Linked DNA regions of Nothobranchius furzeri. The protein of the gene in region 1 binds, or shares a complex with, the protein of each later gene. Links are inferred from orthologs where the notes say so. Each region holds a gene or a part of one and is shown in the gene's direction. Other genes may lie near its edges.

Region 1 (3,747 bases):
GTTCCTGTAAAATAAGTGAGGCTGGAAGCGGAAAAGCTTCTGCCGATCACAATACAACAAGGGATTATGAAAGAATGGATAACACTCGAAACACGCGGATTCTTCCTGATGTAAGAGGTGAGTCTACGCTTAGTTTTGGTTGTTTTGGCGTCGACATCATCCTAGCGCGCAACGTTCTGTGACTCTTAAAAAACAGTAAAAACAGCGAGAAACACTGGCAGCGAAGGCCTTTAGTGATCAGGAAACGGCTGGCAGTGAGAGTTAAAGAAAAAACTTGCTTCCTCTCACAAGTTATTCCCAGTATTGCATTTTGACTCATATTTAGAAAATGGCATATGTTGTAATTTCTAATGTAGATTAGGACGTAGGGCTGAATGAATTTAGGAAAAGATTGAATTGCAATTTTTCTAGAAGAAATTGCGATTTCGGTTCAATTCACGATTTTCTGCAAACAAAGGTCCAACATTAGCCTGCCAAGTCATCCTGTAGATTAAGTGAAAAGATGGTCTAGATTCTAAGCTAGTATAACAAATCATTCACATTAATATTTACTATTTAATCATACAATAAAAACAGTTAAAGCTATTAGTATTTTTTCCCATTATTATCTTTTATTTTTATTTTTAATGTGTTTGTGAAGCAACTTGTGCTTGTGATTTTTATCTAGAGAGGAGCTTTATAAAAACATGTTCTACTCCAAAACTGCATGGAGGAAAACTGTAGGTAGAAATAGCTTTTATATGTATTAAATAAAAATGCACACAGTTTTCCCTGCATTACCGCGGCAGGCTGGCTGCATGTTTTTCGAAGCCGTCTGGTAGTTTTTCCTCACTGAAACGTCAGTTCCGTGAGAGAGACGCACGCATTCTGACACCTTAGCTAGTTTGAACTAACGTGTGCCATCAGAAACATTCAAACCATTTTTAAAAGAGAAGTTGAGCTTTCAAGTCAACTAAAGTGTGCGACTCCACACTCGCGCTGATGAAGCATAAACCAAGCTTTAGAAATCAGCCTGAACCTGCTGATGTGGGAGGAGTCTCTCTCTCCCTTACTCAGCTACATTTTCTCTCTGTGTCCCGGGCTCACCTACGGTTATTATCGGCTCTAGCAGCGCTGCGTGTGGAAACATAAAACAGGGAAAATAACCTGAACATGCAGCTCTGCCAGCTGTAGAGTTGGGCTCGGCTCTGGACGGTACACCCCACCCCACCCTCCCCGTGCTGGCTTTTGCCGCCACCATAACACGGGGAAAACCCCAGATGTAAAAAAAAAAAAAGTTACACAACTGATCCTGGATCAGTCAAAACCGCAGCTTTGACGGTCACGTGATCGTGCTGTTTGAAATCGCAATTTTGGTCCAAAAACGGTAGATCGTTCAGCCCTATTAGAACGGTTTTTTTTTGTTTTTGTTTTTTTGTCACTGTAAAATAATATTTTTGGTTTAGACTGTCTTTACTGTCTAATAATGTTTTGAATGTTTTTTTCATTGGTTTGAGTAGATGGTAATCATTAAAGTTAAAGAGTATGCCCAAGAGTTTAACCCTAAACTGTCTTGTGAATTATTGATTTTGTGTAAAAATGAGTGATGCACCAATATGAAAATGTTGGGCCGATACCGATATCCGATATTAATACCACTGTTACTGCCGATAACCGTTATTTACCGATACCAATATACTGACATTAATGCTTCTAAAATCTGCAGATTTTGTATAGACTGAAAATTATTAAAGCTGAATTTACATCATTATGTACACACGCACACACAGTTATGCTTCTGAAATGATTACAATCACTGCCACATGACTAAACAAATCCACATCACCCCCCTCACCCTCTGAAACAGACAAACAAATGGAAACAAAAAAATATTGGTTTGGTAACATCGCCCCAGTTTTATTTGTCGGACCGATATGTTACAAAATTACTAACATTGTCCGATGCTGGTATTGATACCAATATATTGTGCATTCCCAGTAAAAATCTCTCTGGTTATTTGTTTTGATTGTTTTTGTTTGCATGTATTCTAGCGTAGCTACAGCTGCTAACGCAGTTGACACGATCCTTCATGGGACCGTTGGCTTACTGACAGCCAGGAGCGGCGGCCATCTGGTTACTCTTCAGTGTTACGTCTCACCTTATGACATATTCGAGGTGGAAGCAAGCTCTCAGCTCAACTTAAATGAAAACATAGGTTAGTTGATGAATGGACTTGATAACAAATGACTCCCCAGGTGGTTTTTTGTGTGACTTGTCTTTTCTTTGTATGTGGACGCTTTTTTCCCCAGTACCACGTACTCTAGGTGTCAGTGTCTCTGTGACGATTGAGGGAACCTCTGCTGTGTACAAGCTCCCGATAGCGCCACTCATCACTGGGACCCACGCCGTTGATAACAAAGGGTAAAAGAATGTATCTCATTTTGACAAAGTTCTCAATATATTAAGCAAATATAGTAAGCATTCAGATTCACTTTGTAAAACATTATCTTCTTATTTTAGCATCCCAAGCAGGAAGAAAGTGGAATGATCATATGTATATATATTTTTTCTGCATTTGTAGCACTCCTTCATTTTCCAGTGTGACCAATGCCAATTGTGTGGACCTGCCTGCAAGTTTTTTCCTCAAGATGAACCGCCCCATGCCTTTCTCGCTCTCCTTCATTCAGAGGATGGGCAATGCCACTTGTGAGTCACCCTTTTTAATATGTGTGTGTGTGTGCGTCTGGCCACTTTATTGGGTACACCGTGCTAGTACCGGGTTGGACCCCCTTTTGCCTTCAGAGCTGCCATAATCCTTCATGGCATAGATTCAACAAAGTACTGGAAACAGTCCTCAGAGATTTTGGTCCATATTGACATGAAAGCGTCACACAGTTGGTGTGTCGGCTGCATTTCCATGATGGAAATCTCCTGTTCCACCACATCCCAAAGGTGCTCTATTGGATTGAGATCTAGTGACTGTGGAGGCCATTTTAGTACAGTGAACTCATCGTCATGTTCAAGGAACCAGTCTGAGATGATTCAAGCTTTATGACATGGTGCATATCCTACTGGAAGTAGCCATCAGAAGATGGGTACACTATGGTCATAAAGGGATGGACATGGTCAGCAACAATACTCGGGTAGGCTGGTGTTGCAACATTGATCTATCAGTACTAAGCGGCCCAAAGTGTACGAAGAAAATGTCCCCCACACCATTACACCACTACCACCAGCCTGAATTGTTGATACAGGGCAGGATGAATCCATCCTTTTGTGTTGTTGATGTCAAATTCTGACCCTCCCATCCGAATGTTGCAGCAGAAATCATCAGACCAGGCAACATTTTCCAATCTTCTATTGTATAATTTTGGTGAACCTGTGTGAATTTTAGCCTCAGTTTCCTGTTCTTAGCTGACAGATGTGGCATCCGGTGTGGTCTTCTGCTGCTGTAGCCCATCTGCCTCAAGGTTCGACGTGTTGTATGTTCAGAGATGCTCTTCTGTATACCTTGGTTATAACGATGGTTATTTGAGTTACCGTCGCCTTTCTATCAGCCCCAACCAGTCTGGTCATTCTCCTCTGGCCTCAACAAGGCATTGTTACCCACAGAACTGCCGCTCACTCGATGTTTTCCCTTTTTCGGACTATTCTCTGTAAACCCTACAGATGGTCATGTGTGACAATCCCAGAAGATCAGCAGTTTCTGAAATACTCAGACCAGCCTGTCTGCACCAACAACCATGCCACGTTCAAAGTCACTTAAAT
Region 2 (4,238 bases), about 19 Mb from region 1:
TGCAAAGGGTGAGAGAATCACTACACACCAGACAAAAGGCATTTTGCACTCACAATCAGGCAAAGCCTTAGAGCTTCTTTTATTTAGGAAGGCACACCCAGAAGTTACAGATCAACCCCCACACACAGTTCTTTAGAACCAGCTGACCGGGGTAACCTAATCAACAGATTGTTGGACCTTCATCTTGTCTCAGGAAGTTACAGATAACAGGAGGGTGATCAAAGAGGTCATTCTTCACCACTCTAAAATGTGATCAAATTGATGACCTTCTGTTTAAACAAACACCTACACTGTTACATCAATAACCCTGTGATGTCAAAATCAGTTATATCCATCATGAATGAATACATTCATAAATTAATTAATTAATGATTAATTATTAATTAATTAATATAAATATATATATACTCAAAATAACAATTTGTTCTTGTTAATATTTATAATAACAGAAATACATATATTAGAATATATAATATAAATTAATATATTTATAAATAAATAAATTGACAAATCAATTAATTATTACATTGAATGAATGAATACATCGATAAATTAATTAATTATGGATTAATTATTAATTAATTGCTATAAATAAATATATTCAAAATAATTATTCATTCTTGTTATTATTTCTAAGAACATAAATATATATATTAGAATATATAATATAAATTAATATATTTATAAATAAATAAAATGACAAATCAATTAATTATTACATTGAATGAATGAATGCATAGATAAATTAATTAATTATTGATTAATTATTAATTAATTGCTATAAATAAATATATTCAAAATAATTATTTATTCTTGTTATTATTTATAAGAACATAAATATATATATATATATAAAATATAATATATGATATATATGAATATATTTTTAAACAAATTAATTGATAAATCAATTAATTATTACATTGATAAATGAATGACTGAATGAATGAATACATTGATTAATTAATCACCTCACACCTTGACTACTGTAACTGTCTTATTTGGTGTAAGTCAGAGTACTGTAGCTCGCTTACAGCTTGTTCAAAATGCTGCAGTGAGATTTTTGGAAGGCAAGAGAAAGTATGAACACACGACTCCAATTCTGGCTGCTCTGCACTGCTCCCTGTCAATTTTAGAATTAATTGTTTAATGGGTTGGCCCCTGCCTATTACAGCCACATGTTCCTGGTCTGGCACTCCTTTCTGTGAACCAGTTTCTGCTCTCGGTTTCCAGAGTTCAGCTGAGGACAAGAGGGGATAGGGCGTTCTCGGTAGCGGGCCCGAGACTATGGAATGCCCTTCCCTTAACCACTAGGCTCTCTCTCCCCATGAGTACAGGTTTGTAAAATACTACTTTTATGATCTGGCTTTTAACTCTGTGGGTTAGCTGTTGCTGATATTTTTACATGCTCTTATACTGTTATGTGTATATTGTTTTTTAGTTGTCCCTGCTGGTTTTATCTGTTTTATTTTGATTGTATAGCACTTTGGTGGCATGGTTCAAGCGGAGCTGAGGTGGAACATATTTTGGGGACTCATATTTTTGTAACACCGGAAGTGATAAGAACGGTTCATCAGAGGCATCCGGCTAAGATCAGCAATGCAGGTAATCGTTGATAATAGGAAAATAAAGTAAAACAAATGTAGGCGACATTGTTGTAGTTTATTATGTTCACTGGTATATCAAATATATTTGCTCTTTAAAGATAATTTAACTAGCCTTCATTTGCGAAGCTATGTAGCACGTAGCTTTTCCCTGCTAACATATTTGTTGTCTCGTTTGTTTGTCAGTCATCAAAATGAAATAAAATGATCGTTCTTCACGTGTCTTTCAGCAAAGGGAAGAAAAGCAGTTGGAAGCCTCTGTGGACACGCTGATCTCTCTGGTGGCTCACGTTAAAAACGCTCTGCAGAGTTTTATTGCCAAGTTAGAAAATGAATATGAGCGTTTGACCTGGTAAATTATTATTATTATTAAAATAGAAACGTACTATCTTATCGGTAAAGAAATGCAGCATTAGATGGGTGGCCGGTGATGCCTGTGCTTGGCAGCCTCAGCTCTGTCAGTGTGCCACAGGGCAGCTGTGGCTACATTATAGCTCATCACCACCAGGGTGTGAATGTGTGTGTGAATGGATAAATAATACACTTTGGAATCCCCTGACTCTGAAAGGCGCTATAGTGTGGGTCATTTTCATTTGATATTGCTGTGGTTGGTCTAAATTTCTAGGCTAGTGAAATGGTGCTGCCTGATCACGAAAACAATCATGATTATTTTTGTTCCTGTTGGTCATTTTTTAGTGCTAACTAAGGATGAAATAAAAATTGTAAATTAGGTTAATTGCACAGTCCTTAGTGAAATAACCTTAGTTTAAAATATTTTAGTCCAGATGCGGATCTTTTGATTAAAATTTCCTCTCAGACGCTACTTTGTGTTCTGCTTTGACTCAGGCCATCTGTTTTGGATAACTTTGCACTCCTCTCTGGTCAACTGAATACCATCAACAGACTGCTCAAGAATGAGAAGACGCCATCTTTTCGCAGCCAGGTTATTATTCCGTTGGTCTTATCTCAAGAAAGAGATGATGACTTAGCGGTGAGTAGCAGCATCTCAGTCTCATCTACTTATTTTTGAGTTAAGCTCACTAATAGCTTCTCACTGCCTCTCAGAAACTCACAGAGAAGCGTGTGCCGGTGTTCAGCCATGAGATTGTTCCAGACTACTTGAGGACCAAGCCTGATCCAGAGGTGGAGGAGCAGGAAAAACAGCTGAGTGCAGAGGCAGCACGGATAGGTCCTGATGCAGCACAGGTTGTGTGGAATAATATTTTGTGTCCTGTTAGTTGTCTGATTTGATAGCTTTCATCCGGCTCTGCTTTGTTTACCTTCATTTGTCTGCATGAACAGAAACAGATCCAGACTTTGAATAAGATGTGCTCCAATCTGCTGGAGAAGCTAAACAACCCACGGGAAGACCGAGATGCAGAAAGCGCAGGTGTGTTCAGGTTTTGCTGCACATTTTTTTACCATTAGAAAAAGTTGTTTAAAAGTTAAAGTCCCATTAGTCGTCACACACTAGTGATATTTTTTCTCCGCATTCGACCCATACGCTGGGGAAGCGGTGAGCTGCAGACATGGCCGTGCTCAAGAACCATTTGGTGGTTTAACCTAGGGCTGCTCAATTAATCGAAGTTTAATCCCAATTACGATCTGAGTTTTGAACGATTATTAAAACAAAACAAGCCAATTATTTGCTCCTCCCACTTACGCTGTCCTGAGTTGCAAATGAAGCGCTCCTCCTTGATGCTATTTCTAGCAGCTTCTCAGACCCCCTTCTTGACTTTTTAAATCTTAAAAGTACCTAGCAAACACCTCAGAAACATCTCTGGAAACCCTTAGCTACTTTCTGGATAACTGTCGTGGACATTTCCTGCAGGTTAGCTAAACACTCCGCCTGCGCTCCGGACCGTTCTTCAGGACATTAGGAAAGGGAATGATGTAGTGATGTGTCAGTCGCTAAGGAAACGGCTCACAGAGCCGACTCCCTGTTAGAGTAACCAGAGTGAGTAACACACACACCGCACCTGCGGACTCCTGAGCCTCTAAAAACAGCTAAATGTGCGCGTGCGGCGTGCTAAACACACGTGCAGCTTGCCCCCGATTGCTGTGAGACCGGGTTGGGGGGTGCAGCTTTGGTTGGGACAATTATTACATTAACTGATGGACCTGTAAATAAATAGTTTATAAATAAGGTAGAAATAAGTTCCTCACGCTGATAAATAATAACTAATCTCTCTGAGGACACGGTGCTAGTGCACTCTCCTACAGCACCTTGACACGACTCAATAAATGTTATGCAACATTTTGTGAACATCAATTTATTTGCGTTTATTTGTTATAAATGCCACTGTATAATTCTTGCTGTCAGTATTTGCAAGATATTGGTATTTGGGTCTGTACTGGTTAGACTAACATGAGTTAAACCAAGGTCTATAGCCCTTGGGTCATAGACTATGAGCTATAAGTATATTGGTCTTTTTATACTGGGAATCAGGAGTTATTTTAGTGATCATCTTGTTTCTCATTTATTTTTGTCCTGATTGTGCCCTGAGCAATTTTATGACAGAATAAAATCAACATAAATTGAAAAATCGTCTTAAATAATCGAGATCTCAATTTCAGTCACAATAATCGTGATTATTATTTTTGCCATAATCGAGCAGCCCTAGTTTAACCCCC
Region 3 (4,219 bases), on another chromosome or scaffold:
TTTGTACGGCAGGTCAGATTTTGGACAATAGCACGACTGTTACCAGCACTTACACATCAGCATCAGCAGTTTTAAACACATCAGCAGGCGAGTGAATGCCGCGACCCTCTTTTTTAAATTCTAAATTAAAATTAAACAATTAAAATAAACATATTGTTGACTCTACAGGTGAATCTGAGGAGACTGAAAACACGTTTCCAGCCATTTATGGAGTATCAATCACTGCGGCATGTCTAGCTGTAACAGCACTCGTGATTTTTTGCTTCAAATCAAGACTGCAAGCAGGTAGGATTTGCAGCTGTAGGTTTTCGTTGAGACTTCCTGTTTTTTGTAATTTACATATAGATTTTAATCATGCACAGTGGTTTGCCCTTCAACCTGATTCTCTTTCTGTCTCTCCTCAGCATTTCCGTTTCACAGCTCTTGTTGCGGATTTGGCAGCAAGGTATGATGAGTATTATAAAGTGTATGTATGAAATACCACATGTGATGTTTTGCTAAGGTAATTAATGTCTTGTTTTATGCTGCAGGAAGAAGAAGAAAACCCGACTGTTATTTATTCTTCTCTTGTCATCAAGGCACCTCCCGCAAGAAGACATAGATATGCATGTGAAACTGACTGCATTTATGGTGAAATAAAAGTGTAGTAGAAACACACCTGGCAGAGATGAAAGCTAAACTGAAGAGTTAGTGATTGTAGTTTCCACACTGTCCTCTGATTTAGTGATCAATTTGTCAACAACTTCTAATATGATTGTATGTATAATTATTACTCCCACAGGGTTGTGGAGGTAAAATCTAAAATTTCTCAATTTTTGCCCAAAATAAATAAATAAATAAATAAATAAATAAATAAATAAATTTCTACATTTAAAATATATTTTATTTTATACATACTCTTCCATAATATGTTACGATATATTGCTGAAATGTGGATACATTTCTCATTTTGCAGATTTTGAATTTATGAATAAAATAATACAATTTAAATTTTAAATGTTTAAAAATTTCCAAAGACAATGAAGTGAATTTATTTTTAAGAAACTGTTCCGATATTTTAAAATGACGTTCTGAGAAAGAGTTATAAGCGATTAAAATATGATCTGATGAAGACAACTGAATAAAATCATAATAGAGAAACAGATTAGTTGTGACTGGACTGATTATTTTTTCATGATTATTTATAAACTGTTGGATCATTAATTTACTTTCTGCAGTTGCAGAATGAACTTCATTTCTATTTTTATTTCAGGAAATGTGGAATATTAATGCGAAGATCCTGTCATTTCGTTTGTGCACCGTAGTTTTTAGACATAGATGTTGTAAAACCGTCATTCTCCAGTAGGTGGCAGCAGAGTGTTATCATAGCGGTTGTAACGCGCTTCAAAAACAAGCCAAAGAAAGATGCTCTCGTATTTTTGATGCATATTGAATGTTTTGTCTAATCTCCACATGCGTGGGTGGTTTTATTTTGACTACGTTTCCTCCATTTTTTACTTGAACAGCTGGAGTGACTCATTTGTATGTTGCTGACGTAAAAACTTGGCGAACTAGCGGTTAGCTAACGCTACATGCTAACCGGAAGAGGCTTACCGGGTCTTTAACAAACCATTACGCCAACATTTATTCTGGTTTACCTTAACAGGTACGGAGTAGCATTCTGCTTTATGGCTATTTTTCATGTAAAAGTAGACTTTTTGGGGGAGTCGCAAACTGTATGAATGATTTAGCTTAGCAACATAATTTAGCCTTTTAACTATTAGCTAGCATAACGAACAAGTTAACATCATAAGTAGCTATTTACATTAAGCTCTGCATATTATCAAGTAACAGTGAGCCAGCATGCAAAGTGTTGATTAAAATAAGTTTAGAACCACCTCGACCTTTTTCTTAAAGTGAAATATTTAGCTATTTATTAGCATGTTGAGCTAAGCTTACTGACTGCTTTTCTTTTTAAATTGGGACAAAAGCAGATACCTGAGAAAAGATGGAGGCCCCTCCTGTTACCGTGATGCCTGTGACCGGTGGGACGATTAATATGATGGAATATTTGTTACAAGGTGAGTTAGTGAGATACAAAATAAAAATAGTCTCCCTGAGTGCTTTTTAAGTACACAAGAAAAATTACTTTTCAGACATTTCAACGTTTTATACAATTGTCAGTTTTGCATTAGTGGCCATATGTAGTATTTTATATCAGCTATTATGTCAACAATGAAAGATGGATGACTGTTAATGGGGAAAAATCTAAATTGAATTGAATAGGCTATTAATCCCAGGGGGGACATTCACTCTAGAGCAGAACATACGCTTAGAGAAAAGGAAGAAGAAAAAAATAAAAACAAAAGTGCAGGTACATACACAACGGCAGTAAGCTATTATTGTAACCTTCAAACCACTAAGAGCAACAAAATAAAAATACTAAATTGGGTTTCCAAAGATGTACAGCATAAGGAACACATATTTGTAGGTGATAACTAAGATTTAAAAGATCTTCTACCATAAACTGAAACTATCAGTTATTAGTCATTTTATTTTTACTAATTTGTAAAATCTCAGAATCTTGTTTCTGCTTCCATGAAAGCATAACTGTGGAAAAAGTCCTCAAAAGCTGGATTAACCTCTAATCTGACAGTTTAAGGAAACGTGTTACATGAAAAACATATTCTGATGAAGACTGATTATAGAATACATGTTTTATACCTTTACTGTTTCAGATAAAGTTTGAGTGACATAAGATGTTTGTTTTATTTTTGAATTATTCATGTTAGAAAATGATTGCTGTTATTTTTCCTTCAATGAAGCATTATTTTCTTTGTTTTTGTTGAATCCAGGCAGCGTGTTAGATCTGGCTCTGGAAAGCCTGCTGCATCGCCTCCGTGGTCTGTGTGACAACATGGAACCCGAGACTTTCACAGACCATGAGCTGGTGTACCTTCTGAAAGGCCAGCAGGGAAATCCTTTTATCCTGCGTGCCCGGCGCGCCCTCTCCCACCCAAATGCTCCATGGCATCTGCGTTATCTCGGCCAACCTGAAGTGGGAGACAAAAACCGCTACGCCTTGGTACGCAACTGCGTTGACGTGGCTGCCTCTCACAGCCTTCCAGAGTTCCTGAACGAGATGGGCTTCCGCATGGACCACGAATTTGTCACCAGCGGCCACATATTTCGCAAAGGAGCTATGAAAGTGGTGGTTTGCAACGTTTCTCGGGTCCAGCTACCAGGAAACACGGAAAACACAGAGCGAATGTCAAATTCGCACCTAGTTGAACTGAGCGTGTTGGCCCCTGCTGGCCAGGACACGGTTTCAGAGGACATGCGCAGCTTTGCAGAGCAACTGAAACCTCTGATTCACCTGGAGAAGATTGACCCAAGCAAGCAGAGACATTAGAAGTAGAATTCAGACTAACATGGACTCATTTAATGTAGCTACTTTTGTTTAATTGTTTGTTTTTTATCTTAATAGAAAATAAAATACTGCTCAACTTTTATTCGAGAGTTTTATTTGTTTTTGAATTTGTTTCACTATCTAAAAAATGCTTCATTTATTCCTCATGTTGATGAAAATTATAGTGTATTAACAGCTAAAGCTATTTATTCAAAGAACCTTTTAATGCTTTACTGAATAAGAGGTGGTTTTTGCTGTGGACGTTTTTCTTTCCGTCCACTAGGGGTCTCTCTTTCTCTTGTCTTTGCCTTGATTGGAACAAATTGAATGCTACCTCTCATCATCTACTGGAGCTGTGGTTGCCATGGAAATAATTAGCTGCGAGATCTGCACATCTTTTACCTCATTCTAATTAGCTTTCTCAATTGCTTAATGATACATAGACCTGTGAAAGCCTTCCTTTCTTTCCCTCAACAAAAGCATTGATTTTCGCTCCCTGCCCCTCTCGTTTCCACTGTTAACCCATTAGTGCCCCTTTTTCATGGGAAATTGAACTGGAACCATTACACATGAAAGCTCCACAGCTGCCTTGGGTCCTTAACTGTTCACGATGAAATTGGAAGAAGAAAAAAAAGAGGGCTGTATACTAGTGTGTCAACATTATGGCCAATTGCCTGCAGAGATGGAAGTAACTAATGCACATCCTGTCAGTTATGATAATAATGTTGGCAAAAAAGACATGAGTGCTTCTAATAATACCCTTGCAGGAAGATGCATTTGCTGGAGTTGAAATCTAAAGTGACCATGTGCATGTCTGAGAGGAGAGCTCCA
Region 4 (3,394 bases), on another chromosome or scaffold:
TCAACACCACACCTGGACTTGAGGCTTACTCTGCAACTTTTTCATATTTTTACATCGTTTTCTTTAGCCAGTATGTACTAAAATGACCCTTAGGGTGAAAAAAATGTCACTCAGACCCCCACCGCCCCCTGTGGCCAGAATATCACACTTGCAACTTGTCCGGTCCCTGATGGACTTAGTAAAGTGGAACTGACATGCTTCTTTAGCAATGACTTTCTATGGTTTCCCTTCCTTGTGGTAAAAAAGTTATCCGTGCATCCCTAATTTACATAATAGGTCAGATGAATTTTTTTAAACAAGTGACAAAATACTATACTTTTTCAGGATTTTCTACCTGTATTTGTCATCGTTTAAGCCAGGGGTGTCAAACTGAAATTCACTCTGGGCCAAACTGGAGAAACTAGAACAAAGTCATGGGAAAATGTTTATGGATGCAAATGCTTAAAATTTTCTTTATCTTCTGATTTGTGTTGTTGAATGTTTTATATGGAAACAAACCATAGTCTTGCATTAATAGTTACTCTGGAATAACCAAAGTTTAAAATTAACAACACACGGGCAGTTAACTTTGAAATAAAACACATCAGATGGAAACTGAGCAGAAGCCACAGAGTCAAATTTGAGCGTTTTACTACACCGGAGCTCATTTGGCTCCATTTGGAGGTTGCTTTCTGCGCTTTTCACGTCGGCCACAAATAGATTACTGAGCTGTTGAAATCTTGATATTTGGGCTTCAAAGTTGGCAAATTGCTGGGTGCTAACTAAGCAGTCATTTTTTTGTTTGTCTGAGACCGAATCTGTGGTCTCCAGGTCCGCAGCCGTACCCTCCTCGAGACTGGTAGCATGGATGCTGCTGATAATGCAGCAAAGCATTCTGGGATCTGTAGTATTGGCAACATATGCACTGGCAGGTCAGTTCTCGAGGGCCAGGGTTTGACTCCAGTGGCTTAAGCTATAGTTAATCTAAACCTGCATTCTGACAGGTGCTGGGACTTCTGGGCGCTCTAATGAATTAGACTTTGAGGGCTGAGGCTGTATCTCTAAAACCAAAAGTTTAACTTTCATTGTTTCTGATTTGTTGTTTTTTTTTAGCCTCTTTAATCTCACCTGGACTCCTCACTATGGCCTGTAAATTACACGGATCCCTTTCAGCCACGCTCTTTATTTCCACTTTTATAGTGTCTCTTTTGTTGCAGGTATGATCGACTGTCCGGGCACTCAGGACGGCAGCTCTCTGCGCTCTCTGATAGATAAGCCTCCCGTTTGTGGGAACTCGTTCAGCCCGCTGACTGGTGCTCTGCTCACAGGATTCAGACTACATACAGGACCGGTACCACAACACTGATTATGCCTGATAATAAATGATCATCTTATCCCCGTTATGTAACATGTAGTGTTTTTTTTTTTTTCCAGCTTCCAGAACAGTACAGACTGATGCACATACAGCCCCCAAAGAAGAAGAGCAAACACAAACACAAGCACAATCGACCACAGGACCCCCTCCCACAAGGTCTGGTGGCGTGTTAGTGAGGTCAGCTGAAACAAGTGCTACGTGTTTTTCACCACACTGACACGTCTGTTCTGATTTTAGAAACTCCGTCAGACTCTGATCCCAAGAAAAAGAAGAAAAAGAGGGACGATGATCCTGACCGCAAGAAAAAGAAGAAAGACAAGAAAAAAAAGAAGGTGAGAAAATTTTAAACACTAATTAAGTTTCTAGCTGGGCATTAAAAAGATTTAAAATGTTGACTCGGAATAGCATTGTGACATAAGTCGCACAGCAGTTTTGTTTTTTCATCCAGTTCTCAGTATTAATGAGTACACCCCCTTTGAAGAGTACAAATTTAATCAGTAGCTCAATGAACTAAAAAAATTTTCCAGAATTTTAACAAGGCTGGGTTTTATTAAACACTTGCTTAACTCCATAACATGAAATTAAGGCTATTAATATGACTTGGATCACAAAATCTTCAGTTTTGCTAAAATTGGTTTTAGCAAAAAGGAATACACCCCTCAACAAAAACTACTACATCAAGTCTTCTAGGCATGGCATGAACAAGATGGTGACATATTGCAACATCGGGCTGCATGGTGGCACAGTTGTTGCACTGTCGCTATTTCTGCGTGGAGTTGCGTGTTCTCCCCATGCATGCTCGGGTTTCCTCCGGGTACTCCGGTTTCCCCCACAGATCACAACATGCCCTATAGGTTATAAATTGTAAGTCGCTTTGGATAAAAGCGTCTGCTAAATAAATAAACATAAACATTAACATCTATCTTTTTCCATTCTTCAAGAATAACGTGTTTTATAATCTGGATGCTGGATGGAGAGTGATGCTCAACCTTCAGAATTCCCCACAGGTGTTCAGATCAGGAGACATACTTGGCCATTCAATCACCTTCACCCTGTTCTTCTTCAGAAATGCAACAGTAGCTTTAGATGCGTTTTGGATCATTGTCGTGGTGGAAACGTGCACAATGATTCAAATTCAATTCAATTCAAAGATACTTTATTAATACCAGAGGGAAATTGATTGCTGTAGTAGCTCAGAATAATAATAATAATCAAGTCATCAAAGAGTTATTGTATATTACAATGGCTGTTGGCAGGAAGGATCTCCAGTAGCGGTCAGTGTTGCAGCCAAACTGAAGAAGCCTCTGACTGAAGACACTCTTCCGTTGTCGGACAGTCTTGTGAAGAGAATGCTCAGGGTTGTCCATCATTTTCTTGATTCTCTGGAGAATCCTTCTTTGCATTATCCCCTCCAATGATCAAGTGCATGGAGTGATGGCTGCATCTTCTCCTTCAGTATAGAACAGGACATCGTTGAGTTCATGATGCCATCAATGAAATGCAGCTCCCCAACACCAGCAGCACTCATGCAGCCCCACATAAGGACACTGCCACCACCACCACGTTTCACTGTAGGCACCATGCATTTCTCTTTGAAATCCTCACCTTTACAACGCCATAGTTTTGAAACCATTACTTCCACAAACTGTGATCTTTGTCTCATCACTCCAGAGTACAGAGTGCCAGTAGTCTTCATCTCTTTCAGCACGGGCCCTAGCAAATCCTAGGTGTGCTTTTTGTGCATGAGCTTTAGGAGAGGCTTCCTTCGTAGACAATACCCATGTATGCCATTCCTCTGCAGTGTGCGTTGTATGGTGTCATGGGAAACGGTCACTCCAGTTTGGCTTTCTACTGCTTTAACTAACTGCAGTGAACTTTAATGGTGATTTTCTTCAGTCTTCAGAAGACGCTCCTTTTGAGATGTTCACTTCCATGGACGGCCTGGACGTCTCTGTAAGATGGTTGCACTTTCGTCTTTCTTACATTTTTTGGTCTTACATTTTTTGGTCACTTTTGCTACAGTATTCTGACTGATATGTA
Region 5 (4,295 bases), on another chromosome or scaffold:
CACGCTCTGTGTCACATAGATTCAACGCCATAGAAAATGTGACTTTAAGAAAACCACATTTCAATACAAAATCGTGTGGACTTACCCCCGGACGGCACTCCGAATACTTCAGATCCTGAGTGTCCAACACAAAAAACCTCTCTTTGTAGTTATTTGGTGATGTTCTTTTCTTTTGCTGGGATTTTTTGATCATGGTTCCCCTCAAAATCACCCTGGGGAACATTGTCAAGAAGAACGCAGCGAGCGTCTGCGAATGGTTTTGTCACAAGCAGAGCCTCGCAGAGTCAGAAGAAGAAAAGGCAAAGTTGTGGATGATAAACTTCGTAGATGCTGTGGAGCTTCCGGCGTGAAGCTGCGGCAGGCAGTAAACCACATCCTTGTGGCAACAAATGATTTGCGCAAGCAGAAATACACACTGTTTGATGCACAAACACTGTAGATGTCTACCCTGCACATGTACTTTCACTAATGTTATAGAGAATTAACAAGTTAAGCCCAAAGCAGGACTGTGAATGCAGAAATCCAGGTTTTGGTAGTACTTTTTTAAACAATTGGGAAGATAAAATGAGTAACAAAACACAAAACATCACTGAAAAAAGTTAAGATAAAGAAATATCTCTCTTTCTCTAAATGTGTCTTTGCATTTAGGGGTTACACGTCAAAATATTGTTATTTTTCAGAGAAGTTTAGACTGTTTACAGTGAATGCAGTCCATTAAATTCTTGATTAAAGTAAAGAGTAAAAACTACTTAAGCCACATAAAAATTTACAAAACTCATCTAGGTGACAAGGAGTAAATAAATAAACGTGAGCAAACCGGTTCGGAACATTAGGAATTAAAATGCTGCTCACTATCTTTTCACAAGAGAATAATAGAATTCAGTTTGTCATTATCAACCCAATTTCTTTTTAATATCGATATCAACCCTTTTACACCGTTCTGTTTGTGGCAGGTGTTTCACATACATAAGAAATCACAATCATCTTTTTTTATTATTATTATTTTAGGATAAAATTCATAGATTTCTGCAGATTCTGAAAGAGGACAAACAGATCACAACATGCCCTATAGGTCATAAATTGTAAGTCGCTTTGGATAAAAGCGTCTGCTAAATAAACATAAAGAACAAACAATAACTGACATAGTTTGTAAAATGAGAACCCGAAGGAATTAATATACAGGTTATTGTTTTTATGTCTTTAAAATTAGTATTTTCATTCAAAAATATTCAACAGTTATCTGAATATTTTAGTAACTTTTCTTTTTCATGTATAAAATCAGTTCAGTTTGGGCATCAAACGGTACTTTTTCCATCGATCCTCTGAAGAACAAAGTAAAAGAAAAACAAATTTTTCCGTGCTTCCGGATATTTCTACCAATCAGCGTTGAGCTCTTTCTGTGACCGCACCCCAATCAGCGTTAGGAAAACAATCACGAGGACAGTTCAGCCAATAGAAATCAAACAGAAACGACTGGTCTTTTCTGCATTTATCGAAGAAGCTATGTTAGCCCTGATCTAATTTTCCAACGATATTTGATTAACGTTATTATTAGAAGTATATGTTGTGTTTCTAAAGGATTGTTCTTAAGGTGGGTATGAATACATTTACTCCCTTCTCATTTACCTTTTATGTAGTTCGCTTCATTTTTGACGTGCCCAATTAACTACCGGGATTAGCGGTGGCTATAGTTAGCTAGGTTTCTGTACAAAATGCAGCGGTGACGCTAACGTAGTTCTGCTTGTAGTGTTTGTCAATAACACATTGAGTCCGTAACAAAATAAAGGTAACACAGAAGACAAAGGTTCAATGGTTAGGTGCGTGCTAGGAGTTGAATTTGACTACTTAAATACCTAAGAACAACGTTTCAGCCAGATATTAAACCTATAATTATTAACTATGGCTAATAAAGCCTAATTTTACTTCAAACTAGATTGCAAATGTTTTACGCCAAAATGAGCAGTAGTGTGTATACTATAATTTACGTGTCATTTTAAGTTCATATCTACTTTTCCTACCAACAACAGCAGTAGGTGCAACTTAAAAACCCATCAGAATCTAGTTTTGCTTTGAATGTTTTGTGCTGGACTGGTGCTGCAACACATTAGTTTAGATTTTAGACTAACACTTTACTGGAAGTGTATGCTGATTATTGAATTTGCCCCTCCAGCCTAATGATAGAATCCTGCAGTTATTGGGAGAATGACGTTTGTCGAATTTTTAAATATATTTTATGTACAAGGATTTTGAGAATCTTTTATCGAAACTCTCAAAAAGTAAATCAAACAATAATAAATTCTTAATAAAAACATTTTATTTGTTACTGCAGTTTACATTTAACAGTATTTATTTGTACAAATGAGGGGCATTCAGGCTTTTACTACAATCTGTTATGTGTAATAGTGTATATCTTTTGATGCAGAGCTCTACACGATATGCTGTTACCTAATAAGTTATTGTGCTCATTAGGTAGCTGTAATGTATTGTGTAGTAGTAGTAATCAGCTGATAATGTCATGTTTTTCAGCTTAGCCATCAGCCACAGCTGGTTCTACATGAATGTGGAGCCGAGTTTTAATCTGAAGATGGAGATATAACTATGGTTTTGGGCTGAAATATTAAATTTAGAATAAGTTGCACTAAACTGCCACACTGATAATTGCACATGTCTACAGCACTATTAGACACTCATCTGTACAGGTTATCAGCTAAAAAAAAGTTCATTTAGGCATTTCTTGATCTTTAATAGTGCCTGGAATTCCTAATAAATGTTTTTTCTTTTTCTATACTTTCAGGTCTGCATCATGGGTGAACCACAGCAGGTCAGCGCCCTGCCTCCACCACCTATGCAGTACATTAAAGAGTACACAGATGAAAATATCCGCAAGGGTCTGGTCCCAAAGCCGCCTCCACCCATTAGAGACAGCTACATGATGTTTGGCAACCAGTTCCAGTGTGATGACCTTATCATTCGACCTCTGGAGAGCCAAGGCATCGAGAGGCTCCATCCAATGCAGTTTGACCACAAGCGGCAGCTCAAAAAACTAAACATGTCAATTCTTGTGAACTTTCTGGACTTGTTGGACATTCTCATCAAGAGTCCTGGCAGCATAAAGCGTGAAGAGAAACTGGAGGACATGAAGCTTTTGTTTGTTCACATGCATCATCTTATAAACGAGTACAGGCCACACCAAGCCAGAGAAACACTGAGAGTCATGATGGAGGTCCAGAAGAGGCAGAGACTGGAGACGGCAGAGAGGTTCCAGAAGCATCTGGACAGGGTGGTGGAGATGATCCAGGGGTGCCTTGCATCTCTACCTGATGACTTACCCCAGTCGGATGTAACAGACGGTGTGTGTGTTGGGACCAAGAGTGTGTCTGCTGGATCTAGTTTTGGTTGTTCTTCTGGACAGGCCCCCATTCTGAAAACCGAACCAATGGATGTAGAGGACACGGGCGCCAGCTGCATGGCTGCAGGTGATCAGGACAAGAATGTCCCAAGTTCAAAAACAGACAAAACATGGGACAAGGATGCTGCCATGTGTAGTATAATAGATGAGATAGCATGAAGATTTACAGCACATGCATGTTTTTACTTTTCACTCAGCATGAAATACTTTGTGTGGGATAAAAATACTATTATTTGTACATGTTCTTTTCAAATTCAACTAAATGTACTTGTAAATATTTCCTTAGCGTTTAAATCTTATACAGATCTTTGTGTTCACTGGGCTCAATAAATCTATTTGAAACCGCAGCAGGAGTTTAGTGCCGTCACAAAAACGATGATCTAATATGGTTCCACATAAACACAAAGTGCTTTTGTTAAGAATTTGTTGCTAATTCTGACGCTGTGGTTTGCTGATTATGCATTAGCGGTAGATGCGTAGATCCTTTAGCTAGTCGGCATATCAAAGAGCTTGATTCATCAGAGACCTGAGTAAAATTTAATTAAGTCATTCTGCCTTCTTTTAAAATGTAATGCAATGTAGACAAGTTTAGGGTTGGGGTGTGCTGAATTGAAAGGTGACATTTGATAGGTTTACGTCTGTCAGTCGTCTGTACATGTGATACTTTATACATACACTATTTTTCCAATAAAAATTCAAATAAAACCTATTTAATAGTGATGTGTCGGTCGCGAACGAACTGGTTCTAAGAGCCGGCTCTTTGAAGTGAACGACAGGAGCCGTCTCGTCATTGGGAGCCCTCCCCTCCCCCCTCCCCTTTTGCTTTGGTGAAAGCTGCAGGCGATTAGTCAACATGTGTAACTACGTGTCCAGACTGTCCACACAC
Region 6 (4,432 bases), on another chromosome or scaffold:
TGTTCTCATGTTTGTTTTTGTTGTGCTGTTTCATGCTAATTGTAAAGCGCACTGAATTGCCCCATGTTTGAAATGTGCTACATAAATGAAGCTGCCTTGCTTACAACCTTCCGATTCCTCCTAAGCTACTGCTGCCCCAATCACAATAAAATGTACTTGAATGGAGTGGAGTAATTGCATCTCTGTTTACTTGAAAGGAAACAACACGATCTTTATGAAACGTGCATTACAGGAACTACGGTGTAAACCTATACTGGCTGACAGCTAAGCACCCATTATTATCATGAAACCAGACTGGGTCACATGAAACAACTTAAAACTCAAAACTACTCACTTGAAATTTTATACTAAATTAATTGAAATGTTTGGAAACTTTGTGCAAATATATATATATGTGCAAATATATAAATATATATAAATATATATATATATATAATTTATTTTTTGGGTTGCAATGCATTCGAGCATTCTCTCGAGTTCATAAACTATAGCTCAGGAGGTTAGGTGGGTTGCCCAGTAATCGGATGGTTGCAGGTTTGATTCCGGCTCCCACCAGAGAAGAGAAGGGTCAGGTGCTGTTGCCAGAGAATGCTGCTCTTGTGTCCTTAGGCAAGACACTACCGGTCTTTCCGGCTGTGGTGGTCGGAGGGACCGGTGGCGCCACTGTATGGCAGATGGGCAGACCTCGCCTCAGTCCGTGCGCTCCAGGGTGTGTGTGTGTGTGTGCATGGACGTAATTTTTGGGGGGGGCGGGGGGACATGTCCCCCCCATTTTTTCCAAAGTCAAGTTTGGACCCCTGCACTTTTTACCATCCAAAAACAATATTACGCTATATTAAATTGACACTCGTTGAGGTCTAGGACCAGGCAGAAAACAACCGTTTGTGTTGAAGCCTGTTTCCCATTAGAACATACTGTAAAGACCCCCCCCCCCTTGTGTCCCCCCCACTTCTAAAGTGAAAATTACGTCCATGTGTGTGTGTGTGGGGGGGATGACTGATGATTGTGAAGCGCCTTGGGGGGTTGTTAAACCCTAAGAAGGTGCTACAAATCCATGTACCATTTACCAAAGAGACAGAATCGGAGAGAAAATTGCTGCATTAAATAAATTTCATTTTAGTAATATATTCGACCTCTTTCTGGTGTTTTCTAGCGTTTTGAATGACTAATTAAAATTCCTTGTGATCTCAGAGTTCTGTGGTAATTTGCGTAAACATGAAGTTTTCTGTTTTGTTCATTAATTTGATGTTTTACTGACTGGATTGTAGCCTACTTTAAATGAAACACACTTCTCGCATGTTTAGCAACAACAAAGCAAGGCAAGATTATTATTTTTTTCATAAAACCTTTTTTTCTCGCGTTAATAGTTTAACAGTCTCACCTGCGGTCCGCAGAACCACAAATCCGATCAAGACGATCTCAGTCCACATGTCGGTGTGGATCGACCATTTTAATGAGAAATCTGCGGTTTCTCACCCGTTGATCCTCTCCTGTTTCTCCTCGGGTTTAAACGCAATCAGATTAAAAACACAAGAAGATAAAAGTGTCTTAAGTTGGAGGGAACGCGGACTGCCACGATTAAACCTGTAAAGCCACAAAAATGATGCCTGGTTTCCGTGTTTAGGAAGGAATGTGATCTCACTGGTCGGAGCACATACACCTGAGCAGGTAGTTATGTGGAATGGTTCTTCACGCGCCTCTAGCGTCTGCCTTTAAGTTTTTCATGTTCTTTTTTATAATGGTTAATAATATGAATTTATATTTTCACATTTTCAAACAGTTTTTGTGACATTTACTTGATTGCAAAAGCAGTGATTTGACGGTTTTCACATTGTGCCTCTCCCTTTTCTGTATTTTTGTTTAGTTTCCCCTTCTTTTATTTCCTCAGTGACTTACTGTGTATCATGATGCAATTGTACAATGGGATAATTATTAACTAGCTAAAGAGATGATAAAACCATCTTTGCTGTGTCCAAAAGATTTATATTAGACCTGGAAGAACATCAAAGTTTATTCACTCAGATCTAGAATATCTTATCTGTCTGAAAGACGTAAAGTGACAAAGAAAACAGAAACACATCTTGACACATACATCTAGTCACCAATATTTACATCTCTTCAGTTGAAAGTTTGTGTTTCACTCATTAATAAAACTTAAAGAGAAATAGACTATAATAATTTAACAATAATAATTTAATTAATAGACTTTTATGACGATTCATAAGAGCCAAAAGACTAAGTGAGGCGGAATCTTTGTCTCGTGCTTCGATGCATACCCGGAACGTTTTCGTGGTCGGTCGCGTGTCTCATGTCTCATGGCGGAATTTGTTGCTGTTAGCATCTAGCTTGCTGGCAGCTCTGTGTTAGGTTCCCTGTGATGTTTGGATAAAAATACACGTTTCATATCGCAGAGATGGCGCTTTCCATGGAGACGCAGCTGCAGAGCATCTTTGAAGACGTTGTGGTAAGTTGCAATTTCTTAAACCGGTTAACAATTTAGCTAACGTTTATTAGCATCTCAAAGAGTGTTAGCCTATTCACTGACACTTACTGAATTTAGCATACACTTTCAAATTATTGATCTAAATCATAAATGCAGTAATTCAGAAGATTAATGGGGAAATATATGTGAATGTAAAACTGTTTTAGTTTTATTTTAATTGTCTAAATTGGACATTTATGTGTTTTTCTAACTTTGTTGGTGTTAGTAAATCAGCAATCATATTTTCCTCTGTTTACAGAAAACTGAGCTGATAGAGGAGGCTTTTGCAGGGTGAGGTGGCTCAAAATTCATTTTCACACTTATTAATTATATAAAAACTGGACAAGAGGGCTCGGCTTAGAGTTTTTTTGTGCTTTTATTTGCCGTTAAAATGGGGTAGTAAACATAAATGCTGTTTTTAGGATGTTCATGGACACTCCAGAGGATGAGAGGACTAAACTGATCAGCTGTCTTGGAGCATTTAGACAATACATGGGAACCCTGCCGCAGGTTCTACATTTGTACTGATAATTAATCTGTCGTTTTTGTAAAAATAAATAATTAAAATTTATTTCACTTCTGTCATTCCACCAGGACTCCCATGAGAAGTGTGTGCAATGGATTGTGCATTTCATACACAGTCAGCACAGTCCCAAAAGAATCTCATTCCTGTACGACTGTTTAGCGATGGCAGTGGAGACCAGTTTGTTGCCACCAAGGTTCATACTCACACTCATCCAGGGCACATTGCATCTTATGCCTTCATTTAGACGAAAATACGTCATAATTACTCCAGTGATATTTTTGATGTGACTGCAGAATTACTGTCTGTTCTTTTTCCTGAGGAATACAGTAAACTAAATTAGATTTTTTTTATGTTATTTCGTATTTGGTGACTTTCATGTTACTGTTGTTAAAGCTGATTAAGCACATGCACATCAGTGTATTTTAAATGTATTAAACATGCATCTAAGAGAGGCTGTTTTGTTTTTAGGATGGTGTGTGTTGCTTTGATAACCTCGAAGAGTTTTCAGTGGGAAAAGACGCAGCTGTGGGCCTTAACTTTCAAACTGATCCACAAGATAATCGGTGGCGTGGACTACAAGGTTTCTGACACTCAACGCCAGATGCAGTTTAAAAAAAATGCCTTCTTAATGAATATGCTGTGCAGGAAAATGTTGTTCTTGTTTATTTGTTGTGGTCAGTAGCAGATGTGCCTTGTAACTCTGCTGAAGGTTTTCGTACTTTAAAAGAGGTTTGAATACTAATTTTTGAAGTTTATGAAGGACAATATCAGTAAATAAAAATTCTAAATCGACACCTTTGCTTTGATCTGTGTTTTAGGGGGTTCGTGATCTGCTGAAAGCTGTACTGGATAAAATACAATCCATCCCTACGACTGTCAGTTCTGCCATAGTCCAGCAGCTTCTTGCTGCTAGAGAGGTGCCCTCCTTTCTGTTTACATCTTCAGTAGTTATGTTTAACTCATTCACTGCCAGCCGTTTCCTGATCGCTAACGGCCTTCGCTGCCAGCGTTTCTCGCCGTTTTTACTGTTTTTTAACAGTCACAGAACGTTTCACGCTAGCATGATGTCGATGCCAAAACAACCTAAACAAAGAGGAGACTCACCTCTTACATCAGGAAGAATCCGTGTGTTTAGAGCGTCATCCGTTCTTTCATAATCCGTTGTCGAATTGTGATCGGCAGACGCTTTTCCGGTTCGCGCCTCACTTTTTTTTACAGGAACGCCCCAAAACAATCTCCTAACACATGGATGTGTTGCTTCCTGATCATGTGATCTGTGACGTATGTGGATGAAGATCGGCTTCAGGGCTGAGATGTTTGTTCTCTCAGCGCGGGGGCTCGTTCCGATGCTCAAACAGTAAAAAAAAATGCAAATTGGCAGTGAATGAGTTAAAAGACATTTTGTGTAAATATGACTAAAAATG
Region 7 (4,240 bases), on another chromosome or scaffold:
AGAGGTCATTAAAATATTATATTATATAATGTGTGTGGATCCGGCCCGCGAGATGGTTGTGTAAACTTTATTTTCATACTTTACAATGTAGAGTGAAAATAAACTTATCTTTGTGAGCAAGTTTTCTCTGTAGAGTATAAATAAAACAAAGCTGCGCTCAAGGCTCACACAAGAACTTGAATCACATCCAATGACATGGCGACCGTAGATCAAGGCAGATCAAGGAAGCACAATATCACAGAAGCAGAAGTTGAGGTACCTGTGGGTGAGGTGGAGAAATGAAAGGAAGTACTTTTGCAAAACAAATAAGAGAAAATCCACGGAGAGACGCAGCGTTGCTGAAGCCGTCAATGTTGTAAATTCTTCAGAGAGATCTGTGGCAGATATAAAAAAGATGGTCCAATCAGGATTCGATTCCCAGACTCCCAGGTGAAAGTCACATGTGCTAACCAGTCAGCCAAATGGAGATCTCCCCTATTCAACTAGCCAGGGTGCATGATAAATCGAGTTACAGTAACAGGACACACACTGTCACAGACGCATGACATTCCTTCTCAATCTGTCCCCCTGCTGATATTCTGCATTCCGTATTCTGCGCGTCAGGCTGTGTGTGTGTGTGTGTGTGTGTGTGTGTGTGTGTGTGTGTGTGTGTGTGCGTGTGTGCGTGTGGGGGGGTCTTGTTCTGTGTGAAAACGAAGCAGTACAAGTGATAATGCTGCAGGATTTCATAATTTTATTCTTCTCAGCAGCAGCACTGCAGGTGCTCTCCATGTCCAAAATGTGCGTAAGCCAGGTGCTTAGTCATCTTAAAGTTGTGTACATTCTTCCGCTAAGTTTTCTTTCATAAATCCCAAAGTTTGCTTGTAAAGTTGCTTACACAGTTTTCCGACCCTGTTTGTGAGTAAGCAAGCTTTATAAATGAGGCCCCAGGGCTGGGCAGCCGTTATAGGGGAATACCACACTGTTAAGACCCTCAGTTAGTTAGTTAGTTAGTTAGTTAGTTAGTTAGTTAGTTAGTTAGCTAGTTAGTCTGATAGACATTAAATGGTTATGCAATTACTATAGTTTTGAACTATAATTTATAGTTATATTCTTCACCTAAATAATGGATGAGTTTATTTTTAAATGTTTGCTTAATCCAGCTTTTCTAAGGAGAAATAGGTCAATATTATATTATATTATATTATATTATATTATATTATATTATATTATATTATATTATATCATGTGTGCTTTAACTGCCCTCAAATAAATTCTGTTTCTATTTCTGTGGCTACCTCTAGTGGTCAGAAAGAAGCACTACAGCAGCCGTAAACTGTAGTGAATGTCGTGAAGGACGCTCGGTTTCCCGTCACAAGAGTCCGCTTACGTTTGATGGCGTTTGTTAAACTTAAACAAAGACGGAGGCTCTGAAGATTTGTGCTTTCTTAGTTTTGTGTTCAAATTTGAAAATATTAGGTTTATACCCCAGTCAATGACTCCTGTTGTCATGGAAACAGGTTGGTAGTGTATGTTTTAGCTTCGGTTTTAAACGGAGACAAACATTCCGGTTTTAAACTATTATTACAGCAGTTACGTTGATTTTTGGTTAATATGCGAAGCCGTTAGTTTTAAAATTCGTGTTGTTTTCCCACTTTTAGTGTTTTTAGTTGTTCGAACAAGTTTTAAGGAAAGTATAGAAGCACTTTAATAAAGTGTCTGGTTTTTAAGTGGAGTCTGGTGAACTAAACGTGTTTTCTGTTGTGCCGGATGTTTATGTGGTCCAGATGAACAGGCTCGGAACCGATTCCAGTCCGAACTGGAGTTTGTCCAGTGTCTGGCCAACCCGAACTACCTGAACTGTGAGTGACTGATCCACAGCGAGAGAAGCGGGTTCCTAACGTTCACAGAATGAAACATCTGGTTCTGTTTCAGTTCTGGCTCAGAGGGGTTACCTGAGGGAGAGACCTTTCATCAACTACCTGAAGTACCTGCTCTACTGGAAGGAACCTGAATATGCCAAGTTCCTCAAGTAAGAAGGGTCCGGGATCCACAAGCAGACCAAGCTGGTCGTACTTTTGGCTCATCGGGGAACTCATGTTGTTTTTAAAGAGCAAGTCACCCCTTACAAGAAGCGCACTTCACTCCCACTTCATGTTTGAAAAATGCAACAAATGCTGTTGCCTAGCAGACCGAGAGGGTGGAGCCACTAACAAATACACACACTCACGACATTGTGACATCATAATGTACCAGTTTACATCATAGCATACCTCTTAGCCAATAGCGGTGGCAGATTTAAATTCAAATGCAGTGCAGAGTTTTTACCTGACAACGGCACAACACTGACAGTTTCAGGCAGAAAATTAAAATTTTAACTAAAATACACTAAAGTGCAAAACTATTGACTACACGTGTCTGCAGGACAATTAGACACGCATTTATATAGTTTATCAGAAAAAAAATAGTTGATTTGGGGGTGACTTGCTCTTTAAAGAGCAAGTCACCCCCAAATCAACTATTTTTTTGCTGATAAACTAAATAAACGAGTGTCTAATCGTGCTGCAGACACGTGTCGTCAATAATTTGGCACTTCAGTGCATCTTAGTTAAAATTTAAATATTCTGCCTAAAACTGGCAGTGTTGTGCCGTTGTCAGGTAAAAACTCTGCACTGTATTTGAATTTAAATCTGCAACCGCTATTGGCTAAGAGGTATGCTATGATGTAAACTGGTACATTATGATGTCACAATGCTATCGTGAGCCTGTGTGTGTGTGTATTTGTTAGTGGCTCCGTCCTCTCGGTCTGCCAGGCAACAGCATTTGTTGCATTTTTCAAACATGAAGTGGAAGTGGAGTTATTAGACTCTGGTAGGGGTTGACTTGTTCTTTAAAGTGACGATCAGTCAAACACTGCATCGGTGTTTCTTCTAAGATGTACATGGGGCCACTGGGGTACGTCTCATCATGATGAACCCCCCTTCAAGGACATTGCAGTTGTCCTGGATATTTTTACACGCTTTGTTGTTGTTTAATAAAAGGTGGTTTTCCTGAAAAGTAGGGATGCTCCGATCCAGTGGCGTGATTTTAAAAGGATCGGGAGAAATTAATCAAATTTAACCTTTTAAAACAACAAACGTGACTTTTTTTAATTCATTCTGAGATAAAGAATTTCCAATGGAATACTACCAGTTTAGTTTTAATTTCAACAAGTTCCTCTACATCAATATTCTTTGTTTCGTATGCAAAAACAGCACCTTAACATCACACAACTTACATCAGGCAGAGATTCAGACACCACGCTGCAGCTGTTAGCAAACAGGCTAACGTCTGCAGCATGGTGGTATTTTAAACCGGACAGAAAAGGCAGAGCAACAGCCACGTGTAGTAAGTGCATACTGGGCATTCAACATGCTGGAAGAATGTTTCCATGATTCTCTGCCTTCAAACAAACTACCTTCTCTTTCCCCTTTGGGTGTCAAAATGAATCACCGGTCTCCATTAATTCCCAGTTTGCCACTTACAGTCCCAGTTCACAGTGAACTCGGACAAAAAAGTGGAACCAGCTGACAGAAAGGTACGCTAATATATGAAAAAATAATTGCATACAAACATGTTTCCTGCAGCCCCAAAGCCCAAAGCACAGGTAGGTGTTGTGCGTTAAAAGTTAGCCTATCAGCAGAGGTGCCGCTTACCTTATCCGTTACGGGATTGTGCATCCATCAGTCCAGCTGCATAATGAAGGAGGAAACAACCTTTAAATATATTCACAATGTAAACGCGTTTTTAAATCGGTGTACTTCCCAAACAAATGAAAGTGACAAAGGACAACTTGTAAGTGTTTTTTTATCTTTTTTTATTTTGATGCTTTGCTGAAAACGATCGGATCAGGAGCTAATAAACATGATCGTAACACGATTTCTTAAATGGTGGCTTTACAAGTAAACGCACAACTTAGACAATCAAAAAATGGGTACAGACAGAAGCTTATAACCCCAACCCCCCCACACCATATGAAGCTTAAGCTAAAATTTAAGAGTAGCATACTGATACCATAAGAGTTATACACCAGAATTGAAATTCATGAGCATGTATTCAAATCCACATTCTTGCTTTAAAAATAAAATAACCGTTAACACTTTCTGCAATTTTTCATTGACATGATTCATAGTATTTAATCACATTTAAAGTAAACATACCTTGAACTTGAACATCCCTTCTGAAGTGAATCATGAGTGGACTTTTTAAAACAAACTCATCA

What was found.
Region 2: med1 (region 1) and med8 share a complex: the UniProt entries of both Homo sapiens proteins name them as parts of the mediator complex. The link is inferred for Nothobranchius furzeri from reciprocal best matches to the Homo sapiens genes MED1 and MED8.
Region 3: med1 (region 1) and med18 share a complex: the UniProt entries of both Homo sapiens proteins name them as parts of the mediator complex. The link is inferred for Nothobranchius furzeri from reciprocal best matches to the Homo sapiens genes MED1 and MED18.
Region 4: med1 (region 1) and med19a share a complex: the UniProt entries of both Homo sapiens proteins name them as parts of the mediator complex. The link is inferred for Nothobranchius furzeri from reciprocal best matches to the Homo sapiens genes MED1 and MED19.
Region 5: med1 (region 1) and med7 share a complex: the UniProt entries of both Homo sapiens proteins name them as parts of the mediator complex. The link is inferred for Nothobranchius furzeri from reciprocal best matches to the Homo sapiens genes MED1 and MED7.
Region 6: med1 (region 1) and med23 share a complex: the UniProt entries of both Homo sapiens proteins name them as parts of the mediator complex. The link is inferred for Nothobranchius furzeri from reciprocal best matches to the Homo sapiens genes MED1 and MED23.
Region 7: med1 (region 1) and med31 share a complex: the UniProt entries of both Homo sapiens proteins name them as parts of the mediator complex. The link is inferred for Nothobranchius furzeri from reciprocal best matches to the Homo sapiens genes MED1 and MED31.

Annotation. Positions count from the first base shown.
Region 1 is NC_091756.1:39,214,311-39,218,057, reverse strand, and holds part of med1 (mediator of RNA polymerase II transcription subunit 1), read left to right. Parts: intron 1-2,030; coding exon 2,031-2,194; intron 2,195-2,288; coding exon 2,289-2,400; intron 2,401-2,560; coding exon 2,561-2,685; intron 2,686-3,747. UniProt on the Homo sapiens protein: Component of the Mediator complex, a coactivator involved in the regulated transcription of nearly all RNA polymerase II-dependent genes.
Region 2 is NC_091756.1:57,827,850-57,832,087, forward strand, and holds the start of med8 (mediator of RNA polymerase II transcription subunit 8), read left to right. Parts: upstream 1-1,282; 5' UTR 1,283-1,337; intron 1,338-1,482; 5' UTR 1,483-1,599; coding exon 1,600-1,605; intron 1,606-1,834; coding exon 1,835-1,956; intron 1,957-2,450; coding exon 2,451-2,595; intron 2,596-2,669; coding exon 2,670-2,810; intron 2,811-2,906; coding exon 2,907-2,994; intron 2,995-4,238. UniProt on the Homo sapiens protein: Component of the Mediator complex, a coactivator involved in the regulated transcription of nearly all RNA polymerase II-dependent genes.
Region 3 is NC_091745.1:72,040,920-72,045,138, forward strand, and holds med18 (mediator of RNA polymerase II transcription subunit 18), read left to right. Parts: upstream 1-1,360; 5' UTR 1,361-1,645; intron 1,646-1,970; 5' UTR 1,971-1,987; coding exon 1,988-2,060; intron 2,061-2,834; coding exon 2,835-3,391; 3' UTR 3,392-3,491; downstream 3,492-4,219. UniProt on the Homo sapiens protein: Component of the Mediator complex, a coactivator involved in the regulated transcription of nearly all RNA polymerase II-dependent genes.
Region 4 is NC_091741.1:91,561,838-91,565,231, forward strand, and holds part of med19a (mediator of RNA polymerase II transcription subunit 19-A), read left to right. Parts: intron 1-1,196; coding exon 1,197-1,330; intron 1,331-1,413; coding exon 1,414-1,510; intron 1,511-1,591; coding exon 1,592-1,686; intron 1,687-3,394. UniProt on the Homo sapiens protein: Component of the Mediator complex, a coactivator involved in the regulated transcription of nearly all RNA polymerase II-dependent genes.
Region 5 is NC_091742.1:50,786,268-50,790,562, forward strand, and holds med7 (mediator of RNA polymerase II transcription subunit 7), read left to right. Parts: upstream 1-1,449; 5' UTR 1,450-1,591; intron 1,592-2,794; 5' UTR 2,795-2,803; coding exon 2,804-3,568; 3' UTR 3,569-4,118; downstream 4,119-4,295. Other genes in the region: itk (tyrosine-protein kinase ITK/TSK), read right to left, coding at 86-223. UniProt on the Homo sapiens protein: Component of the Mediator complex, a coactivator involved in the regulated transcription of nearly all RNA polymerase II-dependent genes.
Region 6 is NC_091742.1:26,116,943-26,121,374, forward strand, and holds the start of med23 (mediator of RNA polymerase II transcription subunit 23), read left to right. Parts: upstream 1-1,585; 5' UTR 1,586-1,668; intron 1,669-2,277; exon of another isoform or gene 2,278-2,411; 5' UTR 2,412-2,413; coding exon 2,414-2,464; intron 2,465-2,741; coding exon 2,742-2,773; intron 2,774-2,904; coding exon 2,905-2,992; intron 2,993-3,076; coding exon 3,077-3,201; intron 3,202-3,476; coding exon 3,477-3,588; intron 3,589-3,826; coding exon 3,827-3,925; intron 3,926-4,432. Other genes in the region: il20ra (interleukin-20 receptor subunit alpha), read right to left, coding at 1,382-1,430. UniProt on the Homo sapiens protein: Required for transcriptional activation subsequent to the assembly of the pre-initiation complex. Component of the Mediator complex, a coactivator involved in the regulated transcription of nearly all RNA polymerase II-dependent genes.
Region 7 is NC_091750.1:26,556,550-26,560,789, reverse strand, and holds the start of med31 (mediator of RNA polymerase II transcription subunit 31), read left to right. Parts: upstream 1-1,324; 5' UTR 1,325-1,474; coding exon 1,475-1,499; intron 1,500-1,766; coding exon 1,767-1,841; intron 1,842-1,914; coding exon 1,915-2,011; intron 2,012-4,240. UniProt on the Homo sapiens protein: Component of the Mediator complex, a coactivator involved in the regulated transcription of nearly all RNA polymerase II-dependent genes.